Schizosaccharomyces pombe: one gene and its partner. The protein of the gene in region 1 interacts with the protein of each later gene in a pairwise test. Each region holds a gene or a part of one and is shown on either strand. Other genes may lie near its edges.

Region 1 (3,758 bases):
AGCTCATTCACAGCCTTCCAATGTTTCTAAACTGAAGAAGACTGGAAAAAGGCGAATGTAAAGAAATACAACAGTATAAACGAGATTGACTGCTTCCCAAAATGATTTTTTAAAAGGATGTTTGTAAATCTGCTTGTATCCAACACACTGGGCATACAGTGAAAAGTTATTCTTATGAAACCAATGTGTCAATACGCTTTGTAAACAATGACAGAAAAGAATGTATCAAGAGGTAATGGTTGTAATTATCACGTTATAGATAGGTATGTAATTATTGATATAAATCAAGAGAAAATGTATACGTATCCAGGAATATCAACCTTTGTCGTACACATTATTATGTGTGTGTATGTGATATAGCAGCATCAAACTGGTTTGCTAGATCTAAAAACATATGGACATCTCTTTATGGATACGTATAGATGCCAAACTTTGATGTATGAAGATTTTGACGAGCTAGGCCAGCAAGTAACTCAACAGCCGCATGTACACCATCAATGATGGGAATATTGGGACCTACGGCAACCTGAATCTGATCACGAATAGCTGCTAAAGCAGCACCACCTAAACAAATGACATCTGCACCCTTTGTGTTTGCCAGTTCTTGGGCCTTTTGGACAAGAAGGGTTTCACGCTCTTGTGAAGGCATTTGCGAAAGTTGCAAAACTGTGCGACCTGTAGAAGCAATGGCGGCCACTCGAGTGCGCGAAACACCAAAAGAATCGAGTAATTCGTAAAGCAAACATTCGGAACGATATGTACTTGTAAGGATGCCGATGCGCTGACCAACCGATAAGGCACTGAGGACAGACGCTTGCACAATGCCCATGCAGGGTAAAGCAAATGACTCACGAATCATGTCGACTAGAGGAGTGGGGGAATAACAGGCAACAGCTATAGCATCGACACCATCCAAGACACTAGGAGTTAGGGCTTGGAAGACTAGAGCAGCTGTCAAGGTTGCCTCTGTGATGGAGTCGATGACAGCAGCACCGGGTTGAGGACAAGTTAGAAAGCGCAACTTTACATCTGAAGGCACTAGGGGAACGAGTTTTTCTTCCATGGATGTTGTGATGAAGGTGGAAGAGTTTGGATTGATGACGAGAATGGTAGGCATGATGAGAGAAAATAGAAAGGTAAGAGACGAAGAGAAAGAAGGTAGAGAAGAGAAAGCGAAGAGAAAATAGTAAGAAAAAGAGCAAGCAAAGGGGAAATAGTAGAAAAAAAAAAAGTAAAAGAGAATGTTGAAGCTGAATTTACAGAGACACAAAAAATAATACAGTTTATTGGAAAATAAACCTTTTTTCTAAACTGTTTGTCAAAAACTAAAATTGAAAAACCAGTGTCACAATTTATTATAAAGTGTAGAAAATCGAGTTTCCAACAAAATGGCTTGAAAAACGAAAAATATTTTTAACAAGTAATGACTAAAATAGATTTGATCGTTTGTTTGGTTTTTGCTTATTTACTCTTAGTAGACTAGACTCGACTAGACAATCTATTTCAAGGTTGATGACTAAAAATGCTGTTTCAAGCTGCTGTAGACTGCAATTGAAATTGTCTACAGAATTGATAAGACGCAAATCAAGTGTAAGGGGTTGTTTGAGTAAACTTGGAAACTCCGTTTCCAAGTTGTTCAATGTGCACTCTGATAATGAACACAGTCGGACCCGAAGAGGAGATGAGACTGATGACTAGTAAACAGCGTCAGTGAGTAGCAGCAACGATGGTACTGATAGTATAGGTGATTGAAAAGTTTGTAGGACAATGTTGGATTGCTATGCTATACTTGAGCTGCCTTTGGAATGTTGGTCAAGCAAAGCACAAGCACCACTAACCACCAGACTTACTACTAGCGCTGTTAGGATTATGTAATTGAAATATTCTCATTTACCTGCAAAACGTTAAATCTTCTATATGCACTATCTCCCACTTTACTCTTTTACCGATTCTTTCCCACTCGTTCTACACTTGCAAACTCGAGTCCGAAGCCCGTTCCAACTCGCACCCTGTCCCACTAAAAATCGCACTCCAGAACATCGGTGCTTAGTCTTCTGGTCAAGAAATTTCCGCCGATTGTCTTAATGAATTCCCCTCAAACCTCAATTTAAGTCATCACCTAGACGGACGGGTGCGACTTGGGTATTCCCCCTATCGATGCCTACTTCTTCCAATGACCTTTACCAAACAAGACTTGATGTGCAGACGCCAAATCGATGGTTTCTTTACATTTCATTAGAATTGTTTAACAACATGTATTCTCCGTTTCGTAGCAGCTCAGTCTTACTCAGTGGTGCTCAGTCCGATATACCGAAGGTTGGCAAATGCTTGTTTTTGCCATGCCGCTCACTCGAATTTAGAGCATCGGCAAACTCACTTAGCGTACATTTCCTACTCAATGTAATTTCAGCAATCTTATCTATGTTGATAGAGAGGTATGCGGTAGAAGTGATAATGAGCAAAATTACATGGCCCAGGAGTAATGAGGATTGGAGGTTCCATGGTATAAAAGGTTGATGTGAATACCATGTTGTCTCATCAAATCAAAAGAAAAACTCACTGAAGAGAATCACACTGACCATTGTTCGTCTTGTGCTTCTGCTACAATTGATTTGAATTGAAGTTCATAATAATACCTGGGTGATACAACATCTACGTAAAGTCTTCAATTACTGCTACTCTCCGTAAAAACAACTAAATATTCGTAACTTTTCTCGCTGTCCCAGCTTGTTTACTTGCTCCGATAGCATTGTGCATTATTGACTTGTGTAAATTTCCTTTCAAATCTTAGTTTAATTTCGTTTTGAACAGCCAATACCCATCGTGTGTTGCTATAATCCATTGTTATAGATTTTCGAAAAGAAACAAACATTCGAAAACCACTCTACGCCATTGTTATCAATAAACGAAACGATTGTTGTGAATTTTCGACTTTTGCTCCTCTACTTGTCCAAAGTTGAACTCTACTAGTTTAAACGTTTTTAAGGTTATCAAGAATACCTTTTTTCTCATATTTTTTTTTCAATCCTCCTTTATTACTCGTTTCGTAAGAGAACCCATCTTGTTTCTTACCAACTTTTCTTTAAATTCTTCGTTCAATCATGTCTGCCACTGCTACTACTACGGTTGTGGAACCTCCTACCACCACTTTGACTGGTGCTACCGAGCCACCATTTACTGCTTATACCACTTCTCAAGGTCTTCGTGTTTCCCCTGTTCCATTGCCGGAACACAATACTGATGTTGGATTTGGTGCTTTGATCGAAAATGTTGACTTGAATAACCTCTCGGATGAACAATTCGAAGATATCCGTAAGGCTCTTTTCGAACATCAAGTGGTTTGTTTCCCCAATCAACACAATTTACCCCCAGAGACTCAGTACGCTATCACCCATCGCTTTGATCCCGAGTCTTCTACCTATGGTCACGGCAATCGTACAAATCAGCAAAACAACAGCATCTTACATCCCGATTTGCACACCCTTCCCGGTGTTCCTCAAGTACAACTCATTGGTCATGGTGTTGTGAAGGATCATTACGGTCTTGAAGAGGTCCGACTTAAACATCCTCATCATCGAACTTTCCATCGTGATCCCATTTCTGAGGAGGAAGAAAAAGAAAAACAAGTCACCCGTTTTTATCGTTGGCATATCGATGCTGCCCTTTATGACTATAACCCTCCTGTAGTCACTACCCTTCTCGCCGTTAATGCTCCACAAGGCACCCAAACTCTTCGATATGATGATAAGTCTGGCCAT
Region 2 (3,758 bases), on another chromosome or scaffold:
TAATTGCGTATATTAAAGTTAGCAGATGAAACATCGAATCATGTATTTAAAATGCTAATTGATTTACAGCTCTATTTTCCAGAATTTTTTTCTAAAAAGGAAAATAGTAAATCATTAGTTTATCTAATTAGCTAAATTGTTGACGTTCATGTCAATGGGTAGGCAACATAGCTTAAGTTGATCAAGAGCAAATGTTTTTGAGCAAGGTAATATCATTGCTTTATTAGAAGCTTAAAAATGGTTTAGCGTAACAAATCGACACAGAAAACTAAAATAGATAATAAAAAGATTTTAAGCAGGGTTTTTCGATGAAGGTATATTTGGTCTCAATTCACAATTTTTATTTCAATTGATTGACTGTTATTACTTAACAGATAACGAAAATTCAAGTTAAACATACGCAATTATAAAAATAGGTTAGCCTTTTTTTTTCTATGCACTTTAAATCCGTTAATTAATTAATTGTTGTAGCCAGAGCTCATAAGATTTGTAAATAAATGAAATCTATTCGAAATCGCAATCATTTAGTCTTATTATTCATAACAATGCAAAGCACGCTAAGTCGCTAGAATAAACAAGTCATACAGAACAGAAAACATCCAACTAGTACAATTCTCTGCACGAAATCATTATAGGCGGTTTTAAAAAAAAAATAATAAAAATCATAAAATTCATTATATTCCCTGCCATATGCTAGTCTTTCGGTTATTGAACCGTTTACTAACGTATAAGTCTACTAGACTTTTCTAACGTTAGGGATACGTGCTCCACTGACGTATGAATTAGCAATATGGAAAACCATGCACATATATATAATACACAACTGATAATACATATCTGCCTACCACATACCACCAAATTTAAAGGTTTTTGTTTGTTACGTTATTAGAACCATGTCTAGTGTTGAATCATTTGTACGTATCCGTTTGGCTAGAATCAGAGATTAACCACAATGTCGCTGAATTTTGGTAAAATGTTCTTTTACAGGGTACTAACATTTCTGTATAGGTTGACTCTGCCGTTGCTGACAACGATGTTGTTGTTTTTGCCAAGTCTTACTGGTACGTTTGCTTAGTAAAGTAATCGTTGCATAAGGGCGTGTATTTGTCACACTGGCTTACCATAGTTTGAACGCTTGTATTTTTGTTTTAACAAATTACACTTCCATATGCCTAGAACCGACTACTTAATTTTTTTTGTTAAGCAGTGATATTAACTCTTAATTTTAGCCCTTACTGCCATGCTACTGAAAAGGTGATCGCTGATAAGAAAATTAAGGCTCAGGTATACCAGATTGACCTTATGAACAACGGTGATGAGATTCAATGTAAGTTTTTATTGCATCTGTTGTTTTGCTTGATGCTAGTTTAGATCTGTCTATAATATAATAGACCTTGAGTCTGTATAAAATGGATGGTATAAAAAAAAGCATACTAACCTCCTTGATTAGCTTACTTATTGAAGAAGACCGGTCAACGTACCGTACCCAATATCTTTATTCACCAAAAGCATGTTGGTGGTAACTCGGATTTCCAAGCATTATTCAAGAAGGGCGAGCTCGACTCTCTTTTTAATACTGCCTAATGAAATTCTATGAGCAATAAATTTTTTTCTTTAAATTACATATCTCAAACTGAAGAAACCTGTATTATAAAGCTCTTAAATCTAAATCTGTGGTATTTTAAAGCTAATGATAGAACTTAGATGCAGCTGTTTTTCCTAGCTACTAACTACAACATAGCACATAAATTTTGCTTTTATTTTGAGTAATAAATCACTCGAGAAATACTGCTCTTTTCGATTACTTTATTAAGTAACTCATCTGTGCACAATTTGTACTAGCTGATTTAAATTTTTGAAAATTTAATTATTGAACTGGTAAAACAAAATCAAGGAATATTAATGCCATTTTTATCCTTTATCATTAGACCTCTGTAAATTCGAAGAGTTTCTGAACCTATTCTTGAAAATTGGGTTTTATAAATTTCTGGGTACATTAGTCAGAGTTCCCAACTCCAATCTTCAATTCCTGTAGTAGCAAACTAAAAAATAGCTATTTTCCTTACTCACTACTGAATTGAATTGATTTCCTTTTTGTTTTAAATACAGAAATTCCACTATTAGACGGGATAAATGCTTAATAGGTTGATTGTCTGAAAATATATTTGTTGAATCAAAAATTTTCAGTTTTGCCAAACAATGGTAGCAATAGAAAATAAAGAGGTCCTTTTTGGAGGTTCTCTAAAAAGCACAGAAGAATATGATCAGTTTTTCTGTCCTAGTATTGACATTCCTAAATTTTTGTTCAAATATTGGGATTCAAAGCCGCTAGGGAAAAATGTCAGCAGTGATCAATTCGCTGAGACTGCAATACAGATGTTGGAATATTTTATTCAGAATAATTATACTGGACCATATCTTCCCATTAAGCCTGAAATATGGCTTCCACAGCGTTTACGCGACGAGGCTACATTAAAGGATGCCATTATAAAAAGTTTAACTGTGGAAGGAGAAAGGCCTTATCGACTTGCACCAAAACTTTTATTTCTTTTACTTTCGCAGACTTTATTTAACTACGCAAATAGCAAAGATCCTTTGCACATATGGTATAAAGCTCGCCTTGATTTTTTGCACCAACAAATGCTTAAAGAGCACGTTTCAGAGTTGTTTAATCAAATAATGGAAGGCATGCATATCGTGAGTAGTCATGTTTCTTCACTAGATCGAGATTTACAAGGGCGGTTTACTATGGAAATGGGCCTCATACAATCTTATTACGGTCGTGATACTTTAGCTCTGCAGTTGATGAAGGAATCAGCAAAAGTAATGGACTTTCATTTTGAATTAACTGGTGCTCTTGGTCGACGCACAAAATTCCAAACGTTTGATACTTCGCAGCTAGTTGTTTTAGCAAAGTCTAGAGACCGATGCAAAGATACCGAGCAGAACAAATCAACTAGCACTCAACCGATAACATTTGAGTTAAATGATGATACTCTTTTGGAGAAAATCTCCTTTAAAGAAGATCAAAAATCATTGGCTCCTTCTGAAGAACTTGATCCGATTTTGTCATCCGAAGATCCCAATCATCCCTCGAAACTTGATCCATTGGACGCATCTCTATTACTTGCATTTTGCCATATCATAAAGAATAACAATCCTGATGATGGACTTACGCGTGAAGAAATGGCGCCTTACGCAGAGCGCGTTTTGGTTTATCCTGTTAATTGGTCTGTCTATACAATGGCTTTGCTTGTACGTGCTCGTCTCGAGGGGTTTAAAAGTCGAACTGTTGAACGTAGTGTTCTTCAAATGCAAGCATTGTTAGATCAACTTAACGATCAATTGAGTTTTGGTAAATCACCTGAAGGTGTAGATAAACCAGAGAACGATGAAGGTTTGGGATCTTTCCTTCCAAAACCGCAAGATGGAGAAAACTCTGCCTCGTTGAAAGAACGTCTCAATTACTTTTATAATTTGCTGATGCCATCTAGATGGCAGTTAGAAGCTGAATTGGCTGAAAGGTTCATCTCTGTTGGTGCCACCAAATCAGCCCTCGAAATTTTTGAACGTTTACAAATGTGGGATTGTGTTGTGATGTGCCATTGTTCACTTAATCGTCAAGATCTGGCCGTTCAAGTAATAAAGCGAGAATTGGAAAATGATCCATATGATTTTTTACTTCGTACTCTACTCGGAGATATTGAAAACAATCCAAAACATTATGTTGAAGCATGGGAGTTATCCTGTAAAAGATT

The links.
Region 2: the proteins of SPOM_SPCC576.02 (region 1) and ceo5 interact in a two-hybrid assay, tested with the Schizosaccharomyces pombe proteins (one large-scale study listed by BioGRID).

What each region holds. Positions count from the first base shown.
Region 1 is NC_003421.2:2,080,006-2,083,763, reverse strand, and holds the start of SPOM_SPCC576.02 (hydantoin racemase family protein), read right to left. Parts: upstream 2,058-3,758; 5' UTR 1,895-2,057; intron 1,853-1,894; 5' UTR 1,118-1,852; coding exon 407-1,117; 3' UTR 1-406. Other genes in the region: SPOM_SPCC576.19C (uncharacterized protein), read left to right, coding at 2,158-2,517; alpha-ketoglutarate-dependent xanthine dioxygenase Xan1, read left to right, coding at 3,102-3,758.
Region 2 is NC_003424.3:4,873,376-4,877,133, forward strand, and holds the start of ceo5 (TTC27 family TPR repeat-containing protein), read left to right. Parts: upstream 1-2,011; 5' UTR 2,012-2,199; coding exon 2,200-3,758. Other genes in the region: glutaredoxin Grx1, read left to right, coding at 894-914, 1,009-1,061, 1,230-1,327, 1,451-1,584.